4 linked regions of the Schizosaccharomyces pombe genome follow. The protein of the gene in region 3 interacts with the protein of the main gene of each other region in a biochemical or structural test. Each region holds a gene or a part of one and is shown on either strand. Other genes may lie near its edges.

Region 1 (7,522 bases), on a different chromosome or scaffold from region 3:
AAAAATTAACCCGATCACTGGAGTGGAATGGTGCTGTTGGTTTTCAAAATCAATCTGCTCAACCATTTTATCTTCCGGGCTATTCTGATCAACCATCGGGCTCCTATGTTAGTTCCCGGAACCTGACCTTTGCTCGCATAGTTGAAGCTAGTCACATGGTTCCATACGATCATCCTAATGAAATGAAGACCTTGATTACTGCTTTCTTTAATAATGACTTTGCCAGCTTACCATCGGTACCTAAACCCTCTCCGGATTTAGGTAATGGAAACTACAAATGGCTTTATTTGGGTTTGATTCCTGTTGCTTTAACTATCATTATTTTATTCTCAATTTATTTGTGCAGGAGATTTGGATTATTTGGTCTTAGCAAACAACGCTACCAACCTATATCTCCAACTCCTTAGACTGTATATAAATCTTTTCTGTCGGTTTTTACTTTCACATACAGATTTTCTGCTCTTTATTTTAATCATTTAACTTTTAATCTTGCTTTATCGGTGGTAGAATTTATTTTTTTATCTTGGAACGTTCTTCCCTGGTTTTAAAAAATCTGCGATTATCACCATAAATTTTATCTCTCATCTTTAATCAAATTTCACTTATGGATACATTCTTTGAATTTTTATTTTTGCACATAGTCTCTAAATGATCTCAAATCATGAATATGAAATATCATGTACCAAACATTGTCTTATAGCTATTGTTTGTTCTACAGTTTTTGTAGTTTTTTTATAGGACAGATTAGCGTCAAACGCTAATCTCAATAACGTGTTTGCAATAGTACAGTATATCATGGAGAACTACGTCTTGTAACATGTGTCACAAATGTATAAATACTAGTGAGATCTGTCTGTTTATATTGACAATCCGTTACATCCCTTAATAATCGATTATTATAAATAATTTATAATCGAATCACGTTCCTAAATTCAGTTAGAAGCTATAGCAATGGGAGGATTCTATCACATCTACGCATGAGAACAAAGGAGAACTGCAAGCTAATAACAGATCTACTGTAATCATATTTGACAATCCAAAATCGACGCACGTTATCAGGGACACAATTGATGCGTTTGGTAAATTTTACAGACAGCCTTAACTAAATAGGTCTAGGCAACGAGTGAACTAGCTCTATATCAAAGAAGAAATTGGATAGTTTTATTTCGATGACAACGTCTTTAAATCCATGATCCAATAGGCCCAACTTGCTTGTGGATGGATACTTACAGATGGCACGCTATCGAACAGAACACCAGATATGATCTTATTGCTACTCGGCCAAATTGCATCAAAGTGGTAAATAATATTTCAGCGTAGGTTTTGCATCCAAAATTTTGAAGGAATAGGTTATAATGAAGCACCAACTGCCCAAGCATTTTCAACTGATGTAAACTTGCGAAATTTTTAGAGAATGCGCCTTTTCTGCTGTGTCAATAAACAAGTCTTAGCTAATAAAAAAACATGTCGCAGTAGTACTGACAACGCTATAATTTACTACGTTGTGTATCACATTTGGAACATGTTCTATTTAAACATAGCCTCGTAGATGATAGATATTGGGGCAAATCATTTGATATCTGAAACAAATATTTAGTTTATATGTTCAACAATTTAAATAGGAAACTAAATTTCGTTCCTCACTTTAGTCAGAAGCTAATAACAGAAATAGATCATAAATAATACCTACATATACCAATATTTTCAATGACTCATAGCCGTTATACCTATGTATTATAATATAACAGATCACATGTAAAACTTATCGCGGTTTTGCATATCGTTAAACAGATACAAAACTGCGTAGCATACATAACGAACTTTAGAATATACGCAAGAACTCAACGCAATATTGCAAGGAAAATTATTCTTAAACGATATACCATTAGCCAACATATGCAATTGTCATTACCAGAACTATCGTACACACACAAATCAATAACAGAATTTGAGCCTGCAATTCGGAATGATGGACGTTCGATAGACCAGCTTCGTCCGCTTTCTGGACAAGTAGATGTTCTGCCTGGTACAAATGGTTCTGCTAGAGTTAAATGGGCGTCTTCGGTGGAGATAGTCATAGGTGTAAAAGCAGAAGTGGGTGATGCTACTCCCGAAGGTGGTAAATATGTCGCTTCAGTTGAAATGTACGTGAGATATTTGGAGTTCGTATTAACATTGTTTGGCGTAACAAACAATATGAATCAATTGAAAAAAGCTGGTATGCTAACACTTTTTATGTAGTTCTCCATCTGTTTCAATCCAGAATCGTGAAACCGATGAAATTCCTTCATTCCTTACAAGTGCCCTTCAGGATTTATTAAACGCACTTGCTGTCGACTATTTGAAATTTACACCATCTAAAGCTTGGATTATTCACGTAGATGCTGTTGTAATACTTTCTTCGTCTCCTTACGAAAACATTCTTTCAGCTTTAAGTCTTGCTGCTTATTTAGCATTACAGACTACACGTTTACCTAAAATTTCTACCCCCAATGTCACAGACATCACTATTGGATCTACTAAATATGAGCCTTCCGAAGAATACGATGTTGATTCAGAATGGGAAAATGCATTACCTTTGCAAGGGTTAGAATTAATGTCAGTCATAATTTTGGTTAGTAGCATTGATCAAGTGATAATTGTTGATCCTACAATTGAGGAATCAAGTGTCGCTCAAGTGACATATGCGATTGGTGTTCAAGCTAGTGGTGCTATTAGCTATACCAGGGTCGTGGGTACTGGAGGAGGCTACGCATCCACTGGACGTGCAATAACTGTAGAGCGATATATAGAATTGTTAGAGACTGCGTCTACCGTTGGTACTAAGCTTTTGAACGCCAGCAGCGATATTCTATCTTTTAAGGGTTTAGGATTTTTTGATATTCTTCCATAAATGAATTGGGTTGGGTTGGTCTCCATTTCCTATATAATAGCATCTTTCTCTCTATATATATATATAAATGCAATACTTGGGTTACGGAATCAGGATCAATTTTGTTACATGAAGAGGCATGCATCGGTATTTTTGGTTACTATGGTTGGTCATTGTATTTCGTTTAGGTCAAAGTCATATAGCAAGTATAGTAGATGGGAATAATTTAAGGGAAATGAAATGGTAACGTCTATAAAAATAATAAAGCCTATGCGGCCACTTCTTGGCTTGTTTGGTCAACGTGATCCAACATTTTTTGGATCTTAGAAACAAGTTGCTTCCGTTCAAAACGCAATTTCTCGCTGCCCAGTACGTCAACTCCATCCAATTTTAAAAGCTGTTGTAAAAGTAGTTCACTTATCATTAGTTTCTGTTTGTTTTTCTGCTTTGGATCGTTCGACGGTTTATTTACGTAATTGTCGTACATGGGGGAAAGTTCTTTGTCAACATACTGATCGATGGCTTTTATTTCTCCAGAAATACGCGAAAATACAGGATTCTCCGCTTCCGCTTTCGGAGCGGGCTCAACCGTGTCTTTTTCCTTGGAACCTCGTTGTTGCTTATGTGGTCTTATACATAGAATTTTACTATGATTTTTTAAACCCAATTTTGATAACGAGGCTTTTTTGTCTTTTAAACGCTTGCCAGCGTAAAAAAGCTTGACTTTCTTCTCAGAAATCTCAGTCGTTTCAAGTAAATCATCAATCAGTTCACTTAACGTCTCATTTAGATTGACTGCTACCGGAAATCGCTGATTTCCATAGTGTATTGTAACTGTGCTAGTCTTTTCTGACATTGACGATATTAAGTCGACTTGCTTAACGGATCCAACTCAAGATGTTTTATGTTTTTAAGGCTGATGCTATCCAAAAAAATGAAGGTCTTAATGCGACGCTTAAAAACGAAAGGTAATAAGTTAATAAAAGTATACGAGCGGTCTGGTTATCTAGGTTTGCGGTTCATTATGACTCATAAGGTAGACTCTGCAACTCTGCGTTATATTTGTTAGCAACCATAAAATGAAAAGATTAATAAATAAAGTATGGGATTTTGAAAATTGGAAAAGTAGGAAACAATGATAATTTGACTTACATTTTTTAAACAATCGAATCTTTGCTTTGTGAGATGAAAAACATCACGGAATTGGGTAAGGATCATATGAACTAGAACATTCCGATTAAGTTGGCCATTTTCTATGTTTTTAAGTTGAACTTCCATTTCTTTTCGCAAGAAAGGCTTGGTCAAACTCCACTCTAAACCAATTTCATCATAGCCTTTTGCCAAAGCAACTCCTAAAGAGCTTGGTACAAATTCAGTTACACCTTGGCCCCTTTTTTTTCGTTTTATGACATATTCTCTCTCCTGAACTTTTTCGATGTGCTCTGCCATAGTAGCATCTGTCCCGATTCCATTGGCATCCATCAAGGCAATTAACTCCGGTTCAGTGATATAGGAAGGGGAGGACGTTGAACTGTCCATCATGTCGAGAATGTGGGGTTGGAATTCCTCGTGAAGTCTATACTCTGGTAATTGATCCGAACTTTCCCATTTCTCATATGGATAAACCTCTAAATAATTTTTCTCTGTCACTAGCAATCCCTTTTTAGAAAAAAGCTCTTCTTCCATTTTAACCTGCACCAACGTTTCGGCTCCTTTGGCATTGTCAGAACAACAAGCTAAAAATCTTCTTGTAATTAGCTCATATACTTTCCAATGATCTTGGGAAGGAAGCGCTGACCGGTGAACCATTTGAACGGGATGAATAGGTGGATGAGCGCGATCATTGTGTTTACCTTTTCGGGGCGGTCGATAATCTCCAGCCAAAAGCCTAACATTAGTTATTACGGAAGCCACTATAAGAAAAATTATATTTACCCTTCTGCATAAGAGTCCCATTCTTGTGCACCTGTTAGTTTTTGGATAATCGCATGCAAATTCATTGAAGAGTCAAATTGGTCGGTTTCAGTACGTGGGTAAGAAACAAACCCATTAGTATATAAGTTTTCGGCGAGCTGATGAAAATGATGTTAAAGTTGCAAATTCACTTATAATCAAATCGTACCTCTAAAGTTTTCTTAGCAGAAATTCTTAGATGTTTTGGCCCCAGTTTTGTAAGTTCTACAGTTGATAATGGCAGAGGTTTATACTTGGTTTTTGGTTTTTGAGTTATGTTAACGACCTTAGCAGTTTTGCATTCTAAACAGTTTTCCAAGATGATCATTGTAGTTAATCTGTCAAAAACTTTGGCCCTTTCCCAATTGAACTGAATAGTCTTACCCTGTCTTTTATCAACAAATCGAAGGTGCCAGTAGGTTTCAGGCACAAAGTCTTCTACTCGCTGCCACCGATCAACTACAAAGCCTAATGTAGGGAATTGGCAGGGACCATAACTTATTATTTTATTCTGAAGAATATCGAATGATTTTTGTAATTGAATAGTTTGTAGCCGAGTGAATATTGCACCTAAACGAAAATCAAGTTCAATTCTAGCATCCACAGCATCTGCAGCATTTTTTGAAACATCTCTTGGACGTTTCGCGGCACTGATAATATGTCTGAAAATTAGTTAGCATTTATCTTGAAGGGTTTTTTCTGTAATAAATAAATATCTGCTTTTTAAAACGCTAAGATGTTTATAACTTACGACCGTTCCAAATTATTGAAGTCTGCTCGGATAACCTGAATAGATGGATTGCTGGCTCTAGCTACATTGGAGATTTCCACCCCAATGTGTTCACCCTCACGATCACAATCGGTCCAAATATAAAGGTACTGGGCATTTCTAGCTTCTTTTTTAATATTGTCTGCTAGTACTTCTGCATTCTTTGATACTGAGGTGATGATTTGAGCATCGAATAAAACGTCTTGAGGGACAGAGCTCCAACTAGAATATTCAGAAGGAAAAGAAGCTTCTGTTAAGTGACCGGATACAGAAGTCATTGTAACATCAGAAGATCCAACATTGCCTCCAAAATTAAATGAGAAGTCGTAATTTTTTACATACTTACTTCGTGTATCTCTCTTAAGAGATTAGTAAATTTCAGAAAAGATTAAATTTTTTAACAAACCCTTCTCACGTGTCCACCCCCTAGAATGCTTGCTACCGATTTGGCAATCGAGTTTTTTTCAGCAACACATAGGACGCGCATTTCTTTTAAGAGATGACATTTATTACTTGGATATTGCACACCTTCTAATTATATCTCCCTTTTTTAAAAATGACTGCAGTGTAAAATTCGCGTGTAAGGTGTTAAGGTCGAGATGGCTTTATTGTTTATGCTAACAAATGTTGGTATAATGAAAGGTAGTAAATCGAGGACCAGAAAGTTCATTAAAAAAAATCAAACACCATACCAGTAGTTAATTATACTAGAGAATTAAGAAGAACCTCTTTAGATAAGTAATTATATAATTTTGATGTATGTTGCATTGAAGAAGTCCATGTAATAACTATTTCTTAAGCTTTCATAGTCAGGACGGTTTAATGAATAGATGCGCCGAATGTATAACAAAATTTAAAATTAATATTTTGTTTGTAAAAAAAAGTTAGAAATTTAGATATTTTTTGATTTTTGAACCCATCATTCGCATTGTAAACTACATATTTATTTCTATAGAGCATGGTAAATTGATGTAAGTTCCTTAATTAATTGAAATTAAAATAAATAGATAAATGAAAGTTCTCTTATTGACTCAAACCGGGATTGATAATATTTTAATTTGTTTTTATATTTATATTTTCTCATCTTTTAAATGCAAAATAATTATCGATAGCTAAAAAAGAAAAAGAAAAATCATGCACTATCGATAGAGTGAAGGGACTGTGCAGAGGATTTTTTTTGTTTTTTTAAAACAAAGCGACCTTGTCTAGAAGGCAAGTTTTTGTTTCACAGCTTCTCTCGTAAATCTCAATTAACTACTTTGATTCCATACAATTGGTAACATGTTACTTTCCTCACCACTGTAGTAGACAAGTGCGAACCTGAGATAACTGATGAAGCAGTAGTAAGCATTCTTCCACGAGGTTTCTACTTTTTTTAATATAGTCTGAGGTTTATTATTCTGAAATATAAAACACAAAAAATCCATGTTCGATTAAAGCGATTGAATTTGGGAAGTTTAGGAGGTGCGATTAACCAAAAATTTGAAATTTAATTTCTTTTTCATCTTTTCATTTTGTTTTGTTTATAACAAGTTTTTGCACTTTGGCTTCCACAATATTGACCTTTTTTAATGGATGAGATACAGGAGTCATCGTGTAATGAAAAATTGAGTGACGAAGACCTTGCAGCCGAGTTTGTTGAATTTACCGATAATATTCCAATCGAGATTTATCGTTCTTTACGTTATATAAGAAAATACGAGAATTTTTTTGCAAAAGAAAATGAAAATTTAAATACCGCTGCCAGGTTGGTGTGTGATTGTCCCATTTCAGAGGTCCCAAGTGCTAAGCAAAAATTGGCAGATTCTCTGTTTACATCGCATGAGTATTTACGACAAACAAGTGCAGAAGCAAACAAGTTATATGAAAACGTTTTGGCCTCTTATAAGCACTTGTGTGAAAAAATAAAATATCTAGAAGCAGATAAT
Region 2 (7,182 bases), on a different chromosome or scaffold from region 3:
CCTCTACGTATGTGCTGCATTTTTAGTGAAATGGTCGAGTGAATTACAAAAGATGGAATTTCAGGATATATTAATTTTTCTGCAGTCTATTCCGACAAAAGATTGGAGCACAAAGGATATCGAAATTTTACTATCTGAAGCTTTCCTATGGAAATCATTGTACAGTGGAGCTGGTGCACATTTGAAAAGGTAAGGCATAGTAGCCATTTCGTTTTCCCTTTTCAGAGCATTCGTCTTCTTCCTTAATCCCTTGCTTATTTTGGCATAGCAGCCTTTTTCAAATGCCATCCTTCCTATGCATTTTTATAATTAGGTTGACAAATCTCCTTCGTTAATTCATTGTGTTGCTTTTCTATGTTTATGAGCTTATGAGTCTAAGTCTTACTTCTTCTAATAAATTTTCCTTTCATTCACCTAAATAACTTTTCAAGTTTGCTCCTTAACTCAGCTGGATTGAGTTTGCGACTTTTAGAATTTATCATGCAGGATAAAGTATTTCTCTTGAAGAAAGTCTGAACTACCTTAATCATTTTTGGGAAGTTATTAACCCTTGAATTAAATTGTATATTCACTATTACTTATATGTAATTTGTCTTTACTCTTACGTTCGACCGTTCTCTAACCCTTTTCCAGTTTGACTTACGTTACTACTTTACTATTCAACGATTGTTTAGTCCATGGCGTGATACTTTACATGAATCGTTATTAATATCATTTTTTTTTCTCTTCTATGCTAGTCATGTTTTCTTTGGTTTTATCCAAGATTGTACATTACGATTTCAAAGTACGACTTTTGTATTGGTAAGAGATGATGAAAATCGACAAGACTGTACTACATGGTCTGTGTCTTCTTCCTTGATTCGACCAAAATGTATGGATGAATTAGAGTAGATAATGAAAACGCTGTGACAATTTTTGAATATTTATACAACTTAATACAGTTTTTGAACTGAAATAAAGAAGCACGTTCCATTGCGTTATAGAATCATTGTATTACTTTTCATGAAGAAGAAATCATTTATTTATAACTATAGGATCAATTTCTTATCTTTTAAATTTCAATACTCATAGCTTTTTCATGCTGATTTTGCAACTGCTTACCACAACAGCATTTGCAGTGACTGTTTTTCAAACTATATTTACTATATAAGGGAGACTTTGCCTATTACCTCTACGTCTGGCTTAGGAGCGCAAATTAAGCGATAAGAAAGAAATGGATCTGTATCTTTTAGCAAGCGGCAGAAAGTTTGGGGTTGTAAAGTCTGACTGTATATCCAATAACGGAGTAAATGTGAAGGATGTTGGAAATGCATTGAATGAAGGTGTTGTTGGTGCTATTGACGCTACCCGTAAAATGGTGGTTTCATTAGGAACAGTAATGCCTGAAATTCAAAAATGCGGTGTTACTTTTGAAGAGAGCTCCGAGGATGTAAGTGATTTTTATTTAGTAAGATGGGATAGCATTGATGATCCCTTAAATCCCAAAAATTGGCCAATGTGGAAGAAATGGATTGTTGTAGTTCAAATATCCTTAATAGCATTTGTGGTAACTTTTGGATCGAGCGTATACTCTTCAGGTATCGGTAATGTTTCAATGGACTTTGGGGTATCGATTTCTGTTTCTTCTTTAGGCTCTTGTGTCTTCTTGGTTGGCTTCGGGTTTGGATCGTTACCATTTGCTCCTCTCAGTGGTATCTATGGAAGATTTGTTGTTTATTTTTGTACGTTGTTGATGTTTACCCTATTTCAAATTGGTGGAGGTTGCGCACAAAATATATGGACATTGGTTATTTTACGTTTTTTTCAAGGATTTTTCGGTAGTACGCCTTTATCAAATTGCGGTGGTACTCTAAGTGATTTATTTACTCCCATACAAAGAACGTATGTACTTCCTGGCTTTTGCACCTTCCCTTTTCTTGGCCCCATTTTTGGACCCATCATTGGTGATTTTATTTGTCAGAGCTACTTGGGTTGGTGTTGGGTGTTTTGGATAAATATGATCATGGGAGCCGTGGTAATTGTCATTATTTTTTTCTTCATGCCGGAAACTCATGGGGATACCATTTTAGACTATAAAGCTCGGTATCTGCGTAATAAGACCAGAAATATGAAATGGCATACCATTCACGAAAGACAGCGGAATCCAAGGAGTGCAATATATCAAGCTTGTACTGATTCTGTCTCTTTATTGATTACCGAACCTATTGTAGTCTGCTTTACACTTTATCTGACTGTCGTGTACATCATTGGTTATATTGACTTTGAAGGCTACCCTATAGTATTTGCCAAGTACTCTTTCGATCAGGGAGAAATTGGTTTATCGTTTATTGGAATTGGAATAGGTATTGTTTTAGCAGGTGCCTGCACGCCCATCATCTACGTACACTACAATCGAGTTTATACAAGAAGGAATGGGGTTATGTCTCCAGAAGACCGTCTATACCCTCTTTTCTTTGGATCCATAATGCTACCGATTTCCATGTTTTGGTTTGCATGGACCTGTTACCCATACCATCCTTACGTGCATTGGATAGTTCCATTGATATCAAGTATCTTCTTTGGCTGGTCGCTTTTGTTTGTATTTTTTGTTTCCTATAATTACATAATTGATTCCTATCAAAAACTGGCTGCAAGTGCTTTAGCTGCTGCTACGCTTGTCCGTTATGCAGCTAGTGGAGGAATGAGTCTAGTAGGCAGGCCCATGTATGTGAATTTAGGAGACCATTGGGCAACTAGTTTACTTGGTTTTATTTCAGTAGGAATGATTCCTATACCGTTTTTATTTTTTATATATGGAAAAAAAATTCGTGGTTTGAGTAAACACGCATACAAGTTGTGAGTACTACTATTCACAACCATTAGTACAATAGATTTCGCAGCTTTAGGATAATTGTGCCTTGGTTTGCTTGATACATTTTAAGCAATTGAATTAAGTAATTAAATAAACGATACCCAAATCGGTCAGAAGTCAATATGAACAAGCCATAACAGGGTGTTATTCTAGTTTTTATAGTAAATGAGAGTTATACTGATAGATAGATCGAAATCAAAAATCAACCAATCCATCTTGTTTATATGTTATTCTTTACAGTTAACATCTTTTATTAACACAATAGACACAGGCGTATAAAGATATGAAAATGGATGTGAGTAAAAAGGTAATATAAGGATGAAAGAATGAAATGGGCGTAGAATTGATATAATAATTTTCGTGCGGGATGGATTTGTGCAACATAAACGACAAAAAGGTCGAATTATTCTTGATTACCAGCTATTTAGAAATGAAAAGTGTAAGCAAAAGAAATAAAACTGTTTGTAAAGTATTTTCTTCTCTTCACTGTCATAAGCTAGCCAGAAAGCTAAAATTTTAATAACTTATGAGGAACCGAAAATAAATCGTAAAGCCATAAAAACACAAAATAGTGATATATACTAAAGATAGATGTTAGATCTAGCCTTTTTTAAAAAGGATAATTAGCTAGTGAAATAGCTAAAACTCACCGGACTAGCTCGCTCACCAATTCGAGCGCATTTCCAGAATACCATTGTCACGCTGTCAACTTATTAGCAATTCCATATCCCTCAAAACTAAAATATTATATATCTAATAATCATTTAGGCTTACCCTTCTTTTCTTTTTTCTAATAAAGCAGGGAATTGACGGTGTAAATAAGTACATGTGCAGATCGTTAATAGTATAACGAAAAGCAAACTTTCAAAGTTAAAAATGGCAGTCTAACGGTTAATGTTTGTCTTAAAACAAAAATAGTTACCATTTTATTATACTCTGATTAAAATTTTCAGCTTTTAAAAAGCATGTAATTTCTGTGTTCATATATGAAACATACAATGAACTTGAAGTATGCTCACTTGTTCACATTACGACACACAAGACGTTGTAAATATTTATTACGAATTACAACGCATATTATTCGTGTTCTGATACACCGATAAATACCGATATATAATATTAAAAATATATTGAATGTTGGTGGACAAATGCTAATATATGTATGACTTTTCAGGAGGGCTGTATAAAGTATTTGAGGAAATTAAACTATTTATAAATGGGAAAGGGGAAAACATGTTACATAAATATTGAGTAACGTTTAATAAGTCTACATAATACATTGACGATGCAGTCAAGTCAAATAATAATGATAAAATACTTTTAACCTTAGTTTTAAATAGACATGGTTCTTAAATTTCAAAATAACCAGCTGTTCTAAATTTCACTCTTCGATATTAATGGTATAAAACATTGGAACGTTGAGTTTTTGTTAAGTGATTACGAAGGAAGTAAAGGATGTGGAGTTGATATGCTAGAATTGGTATACAGTTTTGAAATCCATTTATCATAAGAAAAAGTATTTTGAATTTGTAACACTATGACTATCCAACCTTCCGGAAGAAACAAAAAGCAATGACGAATGTTTACAAAAATTAATGATACGGCTGCAGTTGAGCAAATGTAAGAAAAAACAGTTGTAACGACAAAAATAGAAAATATGGCATTATGAATGCTTAAAGATTATGTATAAATTGAGAGTAGAACAGTTTAATAGTTGAGGAGCAAGCGGTATCAAAAAAAGAAAAACAAAAATTCAAGCCAGCATAAAAACTTAAAATTGGGTGCTACAAGTTGTTTGCAGAACCTTGGTATAGAAGTTGTTAGAAACGGAAAAATATTGTAGGAGTTGTTTAGTCAATCAGTTTTTACATATCCAAAAAACCATAGCCGACGGAACCATCGTCTCCCAAGCAACTAAGAATTGTTAAATTATAACACATTTTTCATTTGTTTTGATTCTTGGTGGAATCTAGTTTACTCAAATATTGTTGAGATAAACGAATAGCTTCTTTTCTTTTAAGACGAGCTTCTGGGTCGTCTTCAACATTAACAGCATCTAATTTTATCATCCTAGCCAACAATGTTTCACTAAGGCGTGTATGCAAATCTTGAACATCTTGTGCCGAAGCGGGAGACGATTGGCAGAAGGCTTCAATTTTAGGGACGAGATCCTGTTGAAGCTCATCTATATATGCTTCAATTTGTTGCATTGCCGGGCTCAGTTTGGGTAATTCGAGCTCTAATTCACTTCCATTTTGCACATTTTGGTCGGAAAGTGAACCATCCTTGAGGGTCACCCCGTTTAACTTGAGAGACGCTTTGTCGGGCATTACTGAAAATGCGTTGCACACGCGACGAAGAAAACTAGTGTAAGAAACCATATTCAGCCTTGGTTGTCGCAACACAAAATTCAACTTTTCGCCATCGTAATGAACAACGACAATATCTTCGGTTTCAGTAGCTCTCTTTTTCAATAATGCGCTAATCAAAACAGTAACTGACAATACAGCTAGAGAGATCCAATATTTTTTATCCATAGAACACAACTGGGTAAAAAAAGACATGTTGATTTCTCGATGCTTTTTCCTAAAGTCAAATGAATGAAGAAGTGATAAACCGGTCAATAAGCAAGACTAAATAAGTCTGGGTCTTTATCAGATTTCCTTGGTAAATGAAGGAACTGGTATATAAAAATTTAATTGCTAGATAAGAGAGAGGATGTTTTAAATTGGTGAGTTGCTCTCGAACCAATTTCGCATTTGGTGGTTACTATGTAGGTTGTGGAGATGATAGTGTTATGAATTCTTTGAAATGTGAGTTTCTCCTATACAAACATGATAAGTCCGAAAAATGATAATTAAAAAAAAAAAAAGCTGTTTGTTGCCAAAATCTTATTCTTTTTGTTTTTGTTAAAACTTCTGCTGCAGTAGACTGACATGTTGACCTCAAATATCTAGTTATCATTTACGTTCATGCATCAAATTAAACTAATTCAGTTTCGTAAAGATCTTGTTTTTTCTCTTTTTAAGTTTAATTTTTGTTTCTTTGACAAGGAAGGTACCGAAAAAAGCAATCCATGGGATGTGTTTGATAATTGAACAAAGTGTGAATCTGACTTTAACCAGAAGTAGTAATGCTCTAATTTTTTTTAAGAGAATAAGTAATACTCTAAGGATCTTTGATTGCTTTCGGCGTAAATAATTGTTTATTTGTATGTATAACTTTATTCTGAAAAGCAAAGAAGAAGTTTCATATAAATTCATATCAGCAAAAGCGCATTCTCGGTTGATTTTATCGTTTAATGGTTGAATTCTTGGGTATTTTATACCTCAACTATTTTTTCAAAATACTCTTCAATAATTTAGTGGGTTCTCCCATTTGATCGATTCAATTGTTGGGGACTCAAATTGCATAAAAATTGAAGAACAGGATATCATGCTGTAAACAATTCTCCATTTCAACTTTCATTATTGTTACTCGTCTGCAATACCTGGATATATCAACACTTACTCCATCACTGATGTGCTTACCTATCTAAGAGTGCATGTTCTTGGGGACGTCAAAAGTTATGTTTCCATCTTACATGGATAAAGGAATCAGCTCTATTTGCTCTCAAGGGTAATTTCTATTAAATATCCATCTATTTCCTACACCTGCCTGAGAACTTGCTCGAATTATTTTTAAAAGAATATTTTAGCTATAAAAATTTTCTTGTGACCTTTTAATATTATGTTTTTCACCAATTGTTCCATGAACATTACTAAAAAGAGGGAAATATTCTTTTACAAAATATTTAACACGATACCAGCTCAACTGAGGAAATTAGCGTCGCGATCCGCGTACTACTAATTGTTAGCCAAACACCGGTTTCCCAATTCCCAGTTTTGGATATTCTTTTTACTCTCTTTTTTGGCTCTAATTGATCTTTTTCTTTTATTTGATTGCATGTCGGCTTTATCTGAAAGCCCTGCTATTCCTTCTTTTTGGAGACCTGAGACATCCGAGGTATGCTAATTTTTTAAGAAGATCAGAGGTAGTTTCTCTTATTCTTTATGTAAGACATGAAAGTTGCACCTGTACGCAAATTGCAGCTGTTCAATTTGTTGAATGGAGCCTTTCTTTCCGAGTACTACCCTATCTTGCCTGTTTGAAATAATGATTTGCTAACAAGTGTTGCTTGGGCTGCCCCCTTTTCACTAGTTAAGGGTTCAGCTTGCTGGCATTAATGATTAGATATCAAAAAAACCTCGACCAAACACTACCGTCGGATTTCAATTCGATAATAGAAATGTAGGTACAAGTGCTCCTTCTACTCCTGCTATCCGGAGAAA
Region 3 (7,749 bases):
CTTACATCAAATAAGCCAGAATGCTCCCGTGTCCACTTATGACTGGCACTAATGGTTTGACCTTTATACTGTACTGGCATTGAAAAACCAGCAAAGGGGACTATGGTAGCTCCTTCTTTTAAATGCAGATCATATAAAGGAGTTCTCTTGAGTGAAGAAGAAGCTGCCGTAGAACTTTGGCGCTTTAAGATTGATAAAGCAGCAGATCTATTCATTATGAATTCAAAAAACCAGTTAAATATTGGAGCAAGTCTTAAACGTTGAAAATAAAAAAGAAACCTTGTTAAACTTCTTAATAAACAATTGTTTGTTGATTCCGTAAACCAACATACGTTAGTGGTTGGCAAAGGTTGAAAGATAGATAGGAATACTTGACAAGTACAATATCATGCTACATCAAAAAATCATATCACGCTAAAATGTCATATAATAAATTAAGTAGCCTCAGTTATACCTTTATGTATTCAACTTCAATGGTTTGACGCTGATCGACGATCCTTACAGGTACATTACAAACAATCAAGGAAACAAAATTTTTAACATGTTGGTAGAAGATGTTTACAAATTCAATAATTGAAACAATTTTTTCTTATTGGGAAGAAGCTTGAAAGACTGGTGTGCAGGTATATCTTAAGGATCTATGAAAAAAAATATATAAGAATCCATCAAAGCAAACGCTCGCAATCTCAAGAGCTTACCAAAATATCATCAATCATACTCCACGATCATGTAAAAAGTTTTAAAAAAAATGTACTCCTAGTCACGAATATGAAATCGTAAAAAAGTAGTATCAGATTCGACCAACAGGATTATTCAAACAGTTCATAAATGCTTTGAGTAAGGAAAGAAAGTAGCTCATAAAAAACGGATGATGGAAAAGAGGTATTACCAAAATAGATGTACTAGAAGGCAACGGAATCAAGCATACAAGCTAACATGGAAGAAATATTGTTGTCTATACATTTCTGAACCTCAGCGTCAAGATGCTTCTTGGGATCTTGTTTACCAACGTATTGAATACGAAGTTGCTCCGGACTTAAAGTCACTTCATTTTGAACACGTTCAGTGTACTGTTCTGACAAGGATTTCATCTTATCAATAGAAGCATGATTTTTTTCCGCAGCAGAATTAAAGTTTTCAAGTAAAAGACCATGTGCCCAAGGCTGTTTGTGTAAATTCAAAAGCATGATCTCTTCAAGCTCAGTTTTTTTGTAATTGATGCGAAGGGAGTAGTAATGTCTTCCTAAACCGTGAATTAAAGCTTGAATGCTAGGTTTGTTGATGTGACCCAAATTGGAAGTTGTTTGTCTGGGTTCCTGACCCATCATTAGGGTAGACGGATTAATCAATCGAAAGGCGTCAATTACCACCTTTCCTTTGACAGATTGAATAGGGTCGACAACAACTGCCACCGCTCTTGGTGTTAATTGCTCAAATGATTGTTGGGTGTTGATATCGACACTAGAAAGCCAACAACCAAAACCCGGGTGAGAATGATACCAACCTACAACCATTTCTGGCCGTCCTGTTTGCTTAAGCATATCCATCATATTTTTTTGGAAAACTGGATCGACTGCTTCTACACTGACACCTGTACCAGATTGAGGCATTGCAAAAACATCAACAACACGTACTGTAAAGTCATCAACGAATTCTCCTAACATCAAACCCATAACTTCCATTGGTGTACCATGTCGCCCATGACGAAGCATTTTTAACAAAGCTAGAGATGAAATGTATACACACTCGGAATTATCAACAAGAGGCTGATCTCCCATCATACCAGTACCCATGCGGGCACCTTGTAACAATCTTTGTAAAGATTCCATCGCGAAAAATATGACTCGTATGTATGTATTGAAATATGAGAGTTTATCAGTATCAGTGGGGTTCCTCTCAAATAACCGCAAATAAAAGTGTAATTGGAGATTAAATGAGAAACTCAGTATAAGTATTTAAATAAAGTTACCAAAACGTTAATGCTGTTCACTGATATTTAGTAAGACGACAAAAACAATCAAAGGTCACTATAATGTGCTTGTTCTTCAAAGGAAGTTCTTTCTATATGTTTCAACCACTATACAAAACGAATATACAAGATTCTATGTCTTTGGTCTCACTTAGGCAGCTAGTATACGTTTACGTGGTAGTTGGCTATAAACAGGTTTTTTCTAGAGACAAATGAATAGCTATAACAATAATGAGGTATAATGCGTATTGTTAAAATAAAATAGTGATTTCATTAGAGTGCGTAATTCATAAAAGAATATGGTAGGTGGATGGAGAAAAACTATGCAGAATAGAGGAGGCATCCATTGCTATTTAAGTATAGCTATTGAGAGAAAAAAGGACGTGTTTTGAAAACTAGCCGGGTCCAATTTTAGGCATGTCAAAATGCTCCGACTGACTTTCCAGTAGTCTATTATACTCATCAATCCTGTCTTTATGTGTTTTCAATCGCTCATTCTTTGCTTTCTGAAGTAATCTTTGTTCCTGAACAGACTCAAAATGTTTCTGTGCTTCCGTCATCGGCATAGCCGAGTCTGTATCCTTTGAGCGAAGCATTTGGTACGTAGATACGCCATTTTCTTCTAAAGGTGATTTATCTCGGGAAGAATGCTCTTGAACTTTTTCAGCAAGTTTTTTAGAATCCTTCTTTTTCTTTTTCAAAGGTTTTTTTTTTACATTTTTCAGTTTTAGAGAACCACCAACGTAGTCCATAGTTCTTGGTAAAGGTAAGTTGGTGTAAGCAAAATGTTTGAACTGTACGATAAGAGGTGAAACAGTTTAATACATTTTACACTAGGAATTGAATTTAAAAATAAAATAAAATAAATATAATTTAATAGTAAAAGTGTAATAAGTAATACAATAAAAGAATTGATGTATGTTGTGCAAGTTTATTAATGGGCTCAATTTAAAAAAAATATGTATATATATGTACAATTTCATTGTACAAGTATACTCTAGAAGCGACGATTATTCATTAAATAAATTATTATTACTTTTTTTTTGGTTAATAATGATACTTGAACCGTTTCTTTTAAGAATTGTAGAAAAAATTGAATATTGAAAAATTGAGTTACTCAATGCTCATCAGAAAAATACGGAAAAACTTATAATCGATATTTTTAAACTGATTTGTTTTTATTAGACTCCTTTTAATTACTTAAAATATTTATTTTTATGAATAAATAAATGCATTTCGACTTGGACTTTAACACATTATACGGTTAAGTACCTTAAAACAGCATAAAAAAATAAATGGCAATGCATCGGGATGGTTTCTCAAATATATTAAGCTTCGGTAAAATGTTGAACCGACATCTAACAAACTCCTTACGCTTACTATTAGCTTATAGTCTGTTATTTAAGATTAACGTACCCTTAATAGAAGTGACATTGACGTTGGACGCGACGCTGATACCTAACCACAGCAAACCTCTTTTTAATGAAAGGAAACAATTGAATTGATTACATTACAATTACTATGAAGGTAAATATATTTTACTTTTTATTTGTCTTACTAAACCCTGTTTTTGTGACCAGTTTCTTGAGCTTGCCGATTTAGATACAGTCAATAATGCCTTATCATTTGATGCCGATGATTGTCGCATACGCGGAAAGTGCGAGCTCTATACAACCAAGGTAAATTTAACTTGTAAGCTTGGTTAGTCTGGTAAAGGGAAAATTGTACATTGGTTCTTGAATTTGACATATGCTTTTAATAATGATCCTCTTTTCTTGCGTGGTCAAATCACTAAGTTGAACAATTTTGGTTCTTTTTGGTCTCTTGTACAAGATCAGCTAATTATATAATCATTGTTTTTTTTTGTGATTATTTATTTAGTTTCTTTACGTTTCAAATCTGAAACCAAAATGATTACGATTGTTGTTTACCAAATGGAGTACCGCGTCTGAGTGTCTGTTTTTAGATTCGGGAGCATTCTGCTTTATTAACTTACCAAGACATGAATATACTGATATATAAAATGTGCTAACAATTTTATAGAGTACAAATTCTGACAAGAAACTCTTTAAAGCTATAGAGAATCGGTGTCAGGAGGATCTATTTGCATTATCGAGTAGTAAATCACCGGAATATGCTTTCAGCCTAACTCAGCAAAGTCCATTTGGGCCTCTTGATCAGTCCTCTTCTCGTCGTACCTTTATGTACATTGTCGCTACTCTTAATGCCTCTTATCCCGATCATGATTTTAGTAGCCTCCAACCAACAGATTTTTACAAAGAGCCTTCACTATCTCGTGTTGTAGATTCCGTTAATTCTACACTTAATAACATTGGTCGTGGTAGATTGAGTGTGAATGGAATTTGGGAAATTATCGACCGTCATATCAACCTGTCTGATTGCAGCGTTTATTCCTATACTCCAGATAGCGACAGCGATCCTTACGGCGATGATGCTTTAATATGGGGGATGTCCTACTTTTTTTTTAACAAAAATATGAAGCGCATGCTTTATTTATCACTTCATGGTTTGGGCAAGGAAGTCTCGGGTCGGAATCGTTATGGAAATGACGATGATTCTGTGTTTACACCACTTGCGGACGATGCAGAGCCAAGCGATTTTGATGACGATTGGGTTGCTAACATGGATGATTAATTTTTTGGTTATTTGGGAAGTAATGGTTTCTGCTACTTTCTCTTTTTCTCTCTTTACATTTTGTTCAACTCGCAAACTAAATTGCACCGTGCTCATTTTATTATTTCAGAATCATGACTTTTCGAAATTTTCTTGTTTTTTCTAATTGTAAATACATGAAACCTCACCTTTCTTTAATATCTCCCTGTTAATTAGTTTATTTCAAATTATTTATAGCAACCCTTTCTTTTTTGCATTTTTGAAAAAAAAAATATGCCCCCAGCATTTTAGGTACTTCTTGTTTTTTGTTTTTTATCCTTTAAGGAACCTATTTTTTCACATGTGATTTGTACGTTAAGATTTTCCAGACTGTACTACGGTTTCTACTCTCTTGCAACACACGTGTTTATACATAATAGATTAAAAAATTTCCAACAACTGTTTCATAGGTTTGTACATGCAATTTGACCTTAGAGGAAAATTTTTTAATCTGTCCTCATTAATCATCTGAGCCTAACTATCTTTAAACGTTCACATCAAGTTCCCGAATATTTGAAGCCTTATTAAGCATCATCTTGACATAGCATAATGATGTATTCAGTTATTCAATTTAAAAATTACCTTTTCTTTGAAAATACTTCATTTACAACAAATAAAAGCTATGCATTTACTTAAAAGATAAAGAATTAATTTCATAGTAGTTGTATTTAAGGAATTCAAATTACCCTAAGAATTGATGCTTTCCTATCATTTTACCCGAACATGAGCTCTAAGTTGAGTAGTAAAAAATAGAAATGTTGAGTGCATAATTCAAATGTTGAATACTTGTTCTACCGTGCTTCATGATAGACGTTTACTTAACCATTTCCATCATGAAAAGAAATAAATAATAAAGAGAAAAAAGGAAGCATTGATGAAATAACCACAAAAGATTCTTTAAAAAGGACATTTCCGATATTCGCAGACGAAACAAAATAATGCGTAAAGCGAAATGTCTAAAGAGTTATGATAACGATACACATCTAAACCGACGAACAGAAAACGTATTTGCAAGACAGTTGAGCGATTACTTAGTTAATGAATTAAATCAAAACAAGCTTTCTGTTTTTATCACTTGCCGTAAGTGCTGAAGAATGAAGTGGTAACTTGAAATTAAAATTGATCAACCACATAAATTAGACGCTGATAGACAAAGCCGCAGATTAGTAAGAGCGAAAACGCAGCCGAGAAAATGTCACAGGAAACTAGGATTGATTGGGAGTCGTTAAAGCCCCATATATGATGCAAATGAAATCTATAGTAAATTTAGTACACTTTTTAACCGAGAAGTAGGACCCAATGTGAAGAAAAAGATCAAACCTATAGCCATAGGGCTTGACGCAACTTATCCAAAACGCGCGCGTCTTCGCTACAGGCAACTTTCTCGACAAGAATATCATAAGGAGCGAGAAACTTTGGTGCTTGAACAAGCGGTGGACCCGCGTCTGGATACAGTCCATATGGAATAGTGATACGTGAAAGGTTAACATCACTACTTGGCGTGACTAATGAAGGATCAGGGATAGGCGAAGAATAGGAAATAAGGTGAAGTTTATGATTTAAGGAGGTAGTAATACTAAAGGACTGCTTAATTAAGCCGTTCGGTTTGTAATGCAACCCCCGTAGGTTCTCATCATCAACCGACTCTTCATCACTCAAGCTCGCGGCTCCACTGTCCTCATTGCTGTAAGCATTTAGGGAACTATTACCAGTCGTATCTGCAGAGGGAGAGCGTTTAAGGGAACCATCGGTGGAAAGACCGTGATGGTAAGGTTTACGTTTACCCTCCATTTCTCGGTAGGTTAAGAATGAACCGCTGACACGAGAAGCACTCCATGATTTACCATCAGTCCAACGGCGCATTCCAGCTTCCCGTTCATCCCACACAAAAACACTGCCTGCTCGTATCAAGCTTCTTTCATGGTCGGACAATCGACGCTGGACGCGTGGAAGAAGACCAATTCGACAGGCCTCGAAAAGGATAATCGCATCCAACGGGGTCTTAATGATACCTGTATAAGTTTGCATGACGAAAGGCAAAGCCGATCAGATCGTAGTTTGAAGATGAAGTAAAATCAGAAAATAGCTGTCACGAAGATTCAAAAAAAAAAGCGCACTGGATTAGTTACCAATGCAAAGATCAAAAGAATCAACTAACGAAGCTCGGATTAAAGAGAAATAAAATAAATAGTTTTATAAATATAAGTAGAAGATAAGTTGACTGTGCGTGTATATATACAGCTTGACCGATAAATGGGTAGTCGAGTAAGTATACAGGAATGGAGACCTTCAATAAATTATGCAATTCAGTCCGAACGAACGCAAGATCTTAGGAAATTCAAGCAGGGAAAAATTAAATCTAGATATTATCTTCAAAGAAAATTCAGTTGCAAGACTAGCCGATTTGATTACCTTTTAGTACTTTCTAAAAGAAAATGAAACAATTAAACGGCAGGGAGAAGCAAAATTCAGAAACAATGAAGGAAAGTAAAAATTATTTAATAAATGATTTTCTTTCTTTTTTTAGGGAGTTATAATAAATATTATTATTCGCGGTTTCAACTGATCGTCAAAAAAACACCCAAAAAAAACAGACTTGACCAAAAAAACTTCCAATCAAGTATTAAATCTTTACAAACCCAATAGCTCACTTGTATGTTAAAAGCAAAGAAATTTAAATTCAGCTTTTTTAACAATGCTCAAGGTTGAAATTTGGCAATAAGAAACGTCACAAATAGTTAAAAATGGAAACAGTCGAAAAAATCAAGATAGATCAAATTTTTTTCTCAATGAAAAAATTAAACGAATCCGTTCACTAAAATAGAACACCTTTCTACACCGGTTCTCTAGTTGTGGTAAAAAAAGGTCCCTAAAAGTTCTTTGCAAAGGAAAAAGCTAATGTACGACAAGGCAAAGTAGCTGTTCTTTGGTTTACAATGCTTCAATCATACAACCGGTACAACTTCACTTGCTGTTAGTTTATACACAAATTTGCTTAATTTAATTTTGTTGTCCAACCTTTTTATTCGTCAAAAAGACGCTATTCGAAGGTGACAACGTTTTGCTGCTTAATGCAACACTGCGGTTGGTGAAGGAAAAGTTGAGTC
Region 4 (8,661 bases), on a different chromosome or scaffold from region 3:
TTCCGCAAATTATGCAATAATCCAAATCCATGTCTCTAACGAATACAAAAGGATGAAGAAATTAGAAAAAGAAAATTAAAATGACTTGTTAACGAGGAAAAACCAATGAATGAGCCAAGCTGAGGCGAGCTAGTATTGGATCCTATTGAAGAAAACCAGATAAAACGGATGAGCGTATAAAGCGGACTAAAAAGAAATTTCAAAGTCGAAATATACGGGACGTTTGGAAGATATTTCCGATTTAGTAGAGGAAGAAGAAAGAAAAGAACTTAGCTTCACAATAAAATAAAACAAATCCTTCTCAATTTCAAGGAAGAGATGAGTCCTGCGGGTGATTCAACAAGACGAAAAGAGGTTAGGATGGAGAAAACGAGGAAAAGTGAGTTCTACTCAATCACACAGCGAAACTGTTTGTCGAGGAAAACAAGAGACACTTAAGAAGGACAGTTCGTTTAGTTCAAGCAATCAAGAACAGCGAGTATAAGTCAAAAACCCTTTGCTGATCTATATGTTAATCTTCTACGACCTCTCAGTCGGACTGCTGCGCTCTATATATACATCTGAAAACTGCGCACGCAATCTGTCCAGATGATCTGACCTGAGATACCATACTATCGGTAAAATACGTTAAGAAAACAGCATACACTGTGTTTGATCTCATAATGCACATCCGACCGACTGCATATGCTAATACATTGCGTGAGTTGCGTACAATGTTACCTCTTCATAATTTGATTACAACACACAAGAGAAGAAAGCAGAACGACTGATGTGGGGGATTTGAGTCGGAAGTGGGAAACCGAGAAAAACACTGTGTGTACTAACTCGCATACTAAATGCACACACAAACGCTAGCTCAGCCGGGGTGTCATATACAATAGTAAAAACACACTACATTTTTTATTTTTTCATTTTAATTCTCGAATACTCTTCTACTCACTTTAAGCGACCTTTCGCATCATATTCTCCGCCTTTAAACCCCAAAAATACATGTGAGAAGACAGTTGTACGCCAGCTCACAACAACATGATGCTGATCGCACATCTTTGGACTGTAAAAAGAGGCACCGATGCAGTCAGTAGCGGAGCAAAATGGAGAACCATGGTGATGATGACTTTTTTTCAACGAGAGATTTAAGGCGATAGGTGGGGTCGAAATATAGCATGTATAAAGATGTGCAGGGCAGGGATGAAAAATTAAACTGACGGTTGGGAATGAATGAGAAAAAAAAGAAATTAGTTTAAATTATAATAAAATAGAATAAAATAAATGGAATTCAATAATAGAGAACTAGAGAAGTAAAAATAAAAAGAGAAAAAATAATAAAACAAAATTTACACATGATAGAGATATAAATATATTTCACTATTAGAGAATGGTTTTACTTTTATATATCTATTTATTTATTTATTTATTTTTTTTCGATTTCTAACGACAAAGTGCGAATCGTTTATTGATTATACATTGTATTTATGATAGTAGGTGAGCAAACAACCGGAACTCGAAAAATATTTGCGAAAACTTGCGTACAAAAAGATGAGTGAATTCTAATAAAATGAAATGACTGTGGCATGATTGATGTTTTGTTTCCCATGTCTCAATGAGTAGCATCAAAATTAATTTTACCTGTTGTCCTTGTGCGACACCCATAGCGGGAGAACTAGCTAAAAAAGAAGTGAAATCTCGTTGTTGTTTCACACATTGTCTTACAATTCCATGGAATGACTTGATTCTGAAGACGGTCGGAAGCAACTTTCTGCCTCGACCGGTAACGTAGAATTCACGTACCATTTACTTATACTCATGTAACCTTGTTGTAAGTGTTTGGGATCTTTGAATCTAACGTTCGCGGGATCTAGCACGTGTTACTCTGTAGTTTGCCACGAAGCAATAACTCCTCAGCAAAGAGCTAGGATGCAACACTCTGCCAACAGTAACAATCACCAACTGTAGTAGCTACTGGATCCGATCCCACCTGTGCTTCCTCTGTAGGTATGCAAAACATCCCACATAGGTACATCTATCCCACATTTTCACGTACCCATCCCACATGTATCCATCCTACATACATCCATGTGCTTTGCTATATGCAGAATACAATAGTGCTAAACGCATCAGAATCTTTTGGAAAAATTTTAACCTACTACTGGAATTCATTCATTTCATGAAATCGATTATTAAAGGACGTATGAATCTTGTTTACAAACCCATGAGGGTCTTTTTTGCATACTATGTTTTCAATGATTTTCCTTTGATCAGATAACGAACGCTGCGTGTTTCGGTTATGTGCTAGAAAAATCGCATTCCAACAAACGAGTAAAAATAGAATAAGATGGTTTAGTAATTAAACTCGAGAACGAAAAAAAAAATAAAATAAAAAAATAGAAAATATCGTATGTACGGCTTCTCAAGAAAAATTTTTTTCAAGTTCTTTTTCTTTTTTTGGCTCTAAGTAGGTAAGGCGTATTCAAATCAAAACTCCTTTCCCACTTTTTCCCATGTCTTCCTTGTTTTTCTTTGTTTTTATTTTTCTGTCAAGTTTCTCCTTTTTGGGACATTTATTTACTACTTTTTCCAGAATCTTGTATAAACACCCTATTCCATATGTATCTAGTACTATCCAGTGCAGCGGGACAAAGAGAAGCGTAGAGAAAAAAAAGCCAGTTATGCAAAAATCAGGATATTCGCTAAAGATATCAAGATGCAGATCATTCTCGTTTGTATTTTTTTTTCAAGGATGAAAAATTAGAAAAATAAAAAAAAGTAGAGAAAGAAAATGCAAGAACACTTCTTTGGTCATTTTTATTCAACATCGATTTTCTCATTAAAAATTTCTAATCCTTTCATGCTTTGTTGAACCAGTGAGGCATTTTTCAGTCGCATAAAAATATCAACAACAGGGGCGAGACACGGTTAAGGCAAGGGTTAACAGCGGTTCAGGTCCTTTTGCACGGATTCATGTCCGTAGCGACATTAGGAGTAAACCTTAGGAATATAAAAGTCAACCAAAAAATAGTACGTTCTCTTTCTTTCTTTTTTTTTTTTTTTTTCTCTAAATAATCAAATCCATAATGTTCAATCCTCCCACACCAATGTAATCCCGAATGTACGCATATCCATGTTTCTCTTAATAAACATTCACCATGGAAAAGAAAACACGTTACATATGGCGTGCCATTTCTTTCTTCAATGTAAAATTATACAAAGTTATACTTTTACGCTACCCCCAGCCTTGGCTTGCCCTCCCCCACCCTTCTTTCCATGACTTGTTTCACATCTATAGCGAACCTTTTCCCTTGGTCTTGCTTTGGTTGTCACCGTATTTCTGCGCTGTAACTTTGTCACGTGTCACCGTTCATTATTCTTGCATGTTCAAGCAACCGGTTTTTATCAAAATCCTATACATATATATTGTTACAATGAGCGCCACACGGCCCACATCCTACCCGCCTGGATAGAAACAATGTTACCAAGGAAGAACTTTGGTGTTGTCTTTTTCATGGGCCTTTTAGCTTAGTTGTTCGTATGCCTTGAAATTCTGTTCCTCATACAGTGCTACAAAAGTCTCGCTAATTTAACGTTGAAATTTCTACACTTTCTTTCATCTACCACGTAGAAATTTACGACTGAATAACTTTTTTTTGCGAGAAAACCAAAAAAAAAACAAAAAGGCCCCTTTATATTTATGTATAGATTTTCTTTTATTTATTTTTTAAAATTCTGGTATTCATACTATTCATCGAATATTTTCAAGTTGGTGTTTAAAAGTCAGTAAGGAGGTTGTTTGCTTATACTGTCAACGTTTCTTTGGTACAAAAGTGAGTTTTCGGTTATTGTCTCAAAATCAAAATTTTTTAAAAAGCAATAAAATAATTCATCGTTAAAAAACTACTTTTATATTCTTTCTTTTCAGTTTTGAATTCTGATTTTGATTCCATTTTTGTTTTTCTTTTGCTGAAGACTAGTAAAGCTTCTAAGAAAAATATTTTAACGCATAACGTACTTCTGGTCTCGGGAGGCTTTTTCGCCATATTTTTCCGCTTTTGGTTTTCTTCCTATTAGTTGTTTTGTTTGAGTATTTGCTTCCGAGTGTCGGTCTTACGTCTTAGTGTGCTCGCAAATAACTTTCCCTTTTACTTTTTGTTAGCGAGTTTACCGTTTATTTATTCACCTATCAACTCGCCTAGTCTTGCATTTTTAACGATTTCCTTAGAAGTTTGTACTAAATGTCTGGCCCTCACCATTGTTCCGCTGACTGTGATGAACATCCGTTTGAGTCTGGTCCAAATGATACCTTGTATTCTTGCATCCGAAAGGAATCAATTGTTACGCTGAATGAAGCTGTACCAGATTCCGGAAAACTCGTCTTCAAACCTTGGGACCTTCGTTATGATGACACTGATATCGTAGAAAGTGATGCTGATGACCAACTCTTGTTTCAGGTACCGTTTGCAGGTGCGGCAACACTAAAATCAATTTTGGTTCGCATTTTTCCTAATGAAACCGCTCCACACTCCTTTTCACTTTTTCCCAATCGTACCGACTTGGATTTTGACACAATCGGTGATGTCCAAGCCACTGAAACATTTGAATTTCCCTTGACTTTTGAAGGAAGCCATATCTTCGAGTTTCCTGTTAAGACTCGTCTCTATCAAAACCTTCAAAATCTCAATATCTTCTTCACCAAAAGCGACGGTTCTGATGATCCTACACAAATCGCCTACATTGGTCTTCGTGGTTCTTTTGTTCCCTTCAAGGGTGATCCTGTTGTAACCATTTACGAAGCTACTCCTAGACCTTCAGATCATCCCAAAGTTAACCAAGAGGAGGTTTTCCGTTCTTACTATTAAGCTCCCGGGAAGTTTAGATTCCTTCCTTTTGGTTTTTTCCTCTCTTATTTGAGATTTTTGTTTTACCCAAAGCAAAATAAAAAATATATATGAAACGATACGAATACGCTTTGATTTGGATTTTTTTTAATGACGGTTATTTAAAGAATATCTAACGCCCTTTTTCTTTTCTTTTTCTTAAATGGCTAAGTCTCCATACTTTTTTAGCTTATGTTTAAATGTTGGTTTGTATTTATTGGCCGATTAATTATGTGTTTATGTAAAAGAAATGAGCCTTGATTAGGTTCTTTTTTTCTTCCTCTATTATTTTTTGTTTTTCTCTTGAATTTAAATGTTGCTTGCAGTAGATTAAATTATAAATTAGCTGTGCTATAAATGTGAAAATATTTAACAATGTGACCTCAATATAATTTATGCTTTGCCTCTGGGATGTCGTTTGCGTTTTCTATCAGATGGTAAGTCAAAGTCTCGTCGTAGTTTAGTTCGCAAACTGGGTATTGCATAGTTTATCACTTTGACTGATCGTCTTAGTTTTTCACGTCCATTAATCCTTGGTTGAGATTCTTCAAAATCACATGGGGAGCTGTCTCCGGTTGCTTGTCCTTTAAGGTCAGTTATCTGTTCAGCACTTTTACAAGGAATACAAACACAAACATTTGATGTTTTAGCCTTTTCTTCTTCAGTTTCGCCCTCGTTGATGGATTCAAATTCGTTTTCTTTTAATTCCTTTGAAAAGATGGTGATATTTTTTTGCGGCAATGAGTAATTCACCTCATCTTGTGGTATTTTGTTTACGTGGGCATTGGTTTTATCTTTTAATATACATTTTCCAGGTTTTTCAGATAGAGCCGGAGGACCATGGACTTTTTTTTGGAAATCTTGAAAACAATACAATGGTTGCCCTGTTTCGAGACTTTTAAGTTCATCATTAAATGATACATACTCCAAGCGTTTATTATGCAAAATCTGATAATCTTCTTTCGAATCTTTATTTTCACAGGTTGTAAATTGACTTTTTACATTCGCTTCGAGGAAATCTGATGAACACTTTTTCTCTATAATCTTCAGTAAACTTTGCACTTGTGAAATCTTTTTGTGAATGGTTTGTATCTCAGGAAAGAAGTTTTTTAACAAGTCCTCAGTTTGAGATTGATTGCGAAATCGAGCTTCAAGTTTAACCAAATAACTTTTCAAAGTGAAATTTTCTTGTATCAAATCTTGAATTTCGTTTTCAGATTCTCTAATTTTTATAGAAAGCTGAGTATTTATTCTGAAAGTTAGATGTTTATTATTTACCACAAGGGATTCAAAAATGGTGTACTTTGACCTTACTTTATAATTTCACGATTTTGTTTTAAAAATTTCTTTTTCAACGACTCCATCGGCAATTTATCTTCATTGTTTATATTTGAATTTATAAATTGAAAGTTCATAGCTTTTTTAAAGCTTTTTTTGCGAAAAGCAATTAAGGACTTGCTGATGTAAACAAACCTGTTAAGTGTAAGGTAAACAATCGCAAACTAAAGTCTTGTCATATTGAGAAAGGCTCTTTTCTTTAAGGAACTTGCCAAATCAATGTAAATTAGTATATAATAAATTAGATGAAAGATGGTTGTACGACTTAATGCAGCCCATATCCTGAATAAAAATTGATAAAAAGAACATAAAATTAATTACTGCTTCGCTATCCGACAATATCCATCCAACTCCTGAGAGATTAAATGTAATATTCGACGAATTCTTTCATCAAACTTTTGGAAATAATGATGCAATTGTGAGAAATTAGATTCGTCCGTGGTCTTTCCTATTGCTATAAAGTTAGAGGACAAGGGAGCTTTATACTTTTTGAAAACACCTCTAAAGAATTCATAAGCTTCCAGTATACTGGTGAGATAACCATGAAAAACAGTACAAAAACTGAGATCGTAAGTCTAAGTAAGTAGTCGGTTAGTATGCATCATTAAGAAAACGTGTTAAACATTGGCATATTATATCAACGAACGTTGAATTTAACTACATGCAAAGGTATAACATTATCAACCCTAAAAATTGCAGATACGTCTTTTGGATAAGATCCCTTACATAGTAGTCCGCTTAAAATTTATGTAAAACTTACTATAGGTAAAAGCTCCATGTTCTTGCTAGCATGGTCTTTTCCAAAAGGGTATCTTATGCTGTCTAATATTGCTCGAAAATGTGAAATGCTCCTGGTCGTAACGTAAAACCCTTTTTCAGTCAACAAATAATTCCGAAACTCAGCCGTAGTAATATAAATGGAACGAGCAACGTCTTTAGCATCGCCATCGGATTCCTGAATTAGACATTGTATGTTTCTAGCATGAGATAACAAAGCGACCGTTCTAACTGTTAGCCATAAAATGGTAAAGAGTTTCTTATAAAAATGTAATCGTATTAAAATGGGTAGGTTAATACCAGATACGAACCTTTTTTTAAAATTGTTTCTAACCATAAACGAGTCAAGTGCTTTTCGGTCAAGTGAGACTCCATGGAAGCGAATTTTATCATTTTTAGAAAATCTAATAAAGTTAGTAAGTAAACTCATAAATCATTCACTTTAAATTTTAAAACTTCAGGCGACAAACACAGAAATTCTTATAATTACACACACATTTCAAAAAACTTGGCTATATATGCTTCATTTTTATTAATTCTATCCTCAATGGAGCTATTAGATATCATATTTCGAAGCCGCTCTTGTCAATTTTAGACTCAAATCGTTTAACACACATGCACATGCATGTGCACGCACTAAGAAGTTAGAAAAGGGAGATCTATTTAACACCTGATAAAACTTGGGTTAAAACTTCAAGTCTACAGTCTTGATACGAAATTATATCTACGCCATAGAGAAAAAAAAATAAAAATTACATACTATGGTTTGACAGATTTTAGCGTTAGTTTTTGAAGAGGTCGTATACAGCATATTAGGTATACGCTGCAGTAATTATAACCCAATAAGTCAAAATTTTTTCTTTATTTGTTGCTGATTGTTTCCTTTACTAAAAAGGGATTTACCATTACTCAAAAGAAATTACCTAGTTTCCAATAAATCATATGGCATTTGTCCAGTTCAAATACTTTAAGACACGTATAGTTTATTTTTTGAATGTCCAGCTAAAAAATATATTACACGAATCAGTATAAAAAGAATTCCTTTCTTTTATTCTATTTATTTGTAATTGAAAACGAATTAGCTTCCGTTGTCATTTTACCAATTGTTAGTACCTAGAATACATATGGTTTGGTTATATATGTGTATGTATATATTATTTACTACAATAGTACAATGTCAGTTTTAAGACAATATTGAGTTATGTTAAAGGAAAGCAACATTAAAAGATTAAACGAGAACCAGCAAAGTAGGCTAGTGCCAGCAAATTTGCAATCGAAATAATTAAAGAATTTGATTTAAGCACCCGCTCAAAGACGCTATACAGCGTTTCTCAAATTAATATTAAAAAAAGATGAACCATTTATCCCGTACTCTGAAAACCAAATCATCAAATGATTGATATTGTGAAAGCATATCTACCGCATAGTAGAACAACACTTATTTAAGTTAAGAAAGTGAGTGACTCTAACAATAGTTGAAGCTTCGAAACTAAGAAAAGCAACGACAGCATATCATATCAAAAAATCCTCCTTTTGCTTCCGAATCAGAATTATCGTTAGGATGATTTACTCCGACTGCATTATTCGAGGGCTGAGATACATACATAGGTCGAACCCTATCGTAACCTCTAGAAGAATGAGCATAAATTGTTTTTTTAGAAGCAGACTGTTCTTGACG

What was found.
Region 1: the proteins of rpn11 (region 3) and bag101 form a complex in vitro, tested with the Schizosaccharomyces pombe proteins (one study listed by BioGRID).
Region 2: the proteins of rpn11 (region 3) and bag102 form a complex in vitro, tested with the Schizosaccharomyces pombe proteins (one study listed by BioGRID).
Region 4: the proteins of rpn11 (region 3) and txc1 form a complex in vitro, tested with the Schizosaccharomyces pombe proteins (one study listed by BioGRID).

What each region holds. Positions count from the first base shown.
Region 1 is NC_003423.3:4,230,057-4,237,578, forward strand, and holds bag101 (BAG family molecular chaperone regulator Bag101), read right to left. Parts: upstream 3,851-7,522; 5' UTR 3,729-3,850; coding exon 3,141-3,728; 3' UTR 2,894-3,140; downstream 1-2,893. Other genes in the region: kex1 (serine carboxypeptidase), read left to right, coding at 1-407; exosome subunit Rrp42, read left to right, coding at 1,897-2,144, 2,242-2,893; top3 (DNA topoisomerase III), read right to left, coding at 3,879-3,923, 4,025-4,760, 4,808-4,944, 4,995-5,487, 5,577-5,953, 6,001-6,081; protein ptf2, read left to right, coding at 7,166-7,522. UniProt on the Schizosaccharomyces pombe protein: Inhibits the chaperone activity of HSP70/HSC70 by promoting substrate release.
Region 2 is NC_003423.3:786,465-793,646, forward strand, and holds bag102 (BAG family molecular chaperone regulator Bag102), read right to left. Parts: upstream 5,620-7,182; 5' UTR 5,416-5,619; coding exon 4,795-5,415; 3' UTR 4,200-4,794; downstream 1-4,199. Other genes in the region: GTPase-activating protein Gyp1, read left to right, coding at 1-193; SPOM_SPBC530.02 (transporter), read left to right, coding at 1,214-2,839; protein ksh1, read right to left, coding at 3,376-3,432, 3,502-3,553, 3,626-3,735, 3,774-3,776; Tea1-anchoring protein Mod5, read left to right, coding at 6,797-6,856, 7,085-7,182. UniProt on the Schizosaccharomyces pombe protein: Inhibits the chaperone activity of HSP70/HSC70 by promoting substrate release.
Region 3 is NC_003424.3:3,005,059-3,012,807, reverse strand, and holds rpn11 (19S proteasome regulatory subunit, ubiquitin-specific protease subunit Rpn11), read right to left. Parts: upstream 2,163-7,749; 5' UTR 1,830-2,162; coding exon 903-1,829; 3' UTR 501-902; downstream 1-500. Other genes in the region: glycine decarboxylase T subunit gcv1, read right to left, coding at 1-215; SPOM_SPAC31G5.21 (FAM32A family protein), read right to left, coding at 2,365-2,721; RNA polymerase III-inhibiting protein Maf1, read left to right, coding at 3,491-3,496, 3,550-3,648, 4,013-4,624; cAMP-independent regulatory protein Pac2, read right to left, coding at 5,963-6,670. UniProt on the Schizosaccharomyces pombe protein: Acts as a regulatory subunit of the 26 proteasome which is involved in the ATP-dependent degradation of ubiquitinated proteins.
Region 4 is NC_003423.3:962,485-971,145, forward strand, and holds txc1 (poteasome interacting protein Txc1), read left to right. Parts: upstream 1-3,795; 5' UTR 3,796-4,226; coding exon 4,227-4,850; 3' UTR 4,851-5,261; coding exon of another isoform or gene 5,262-6,120; 3' UTR 6,121-6,182; coding exon of another isoform or gene 6,183-6,283; 3' UTR 6,284-6,407; downstream 6,408-8,661. Other genes in the region: protein Ecl2, read right to left, coding at 1-31; SPOM_SPBP35G2.17 (uncharacterized protein), read right to left, coding at 1,471-1,791; shugoshin Sgo1, read right to left, coding at 5,262-6,120, 6,183-6,283; SPOM_SPBP35G2.04C (uncharacterized protein), read right to left, coding at 6,524-6,781, 6,967-7,387, 7,480-7,550; serine/threonine protein kinase (CK1 family) Cki2, read right to left, coding at 8,473-8,661.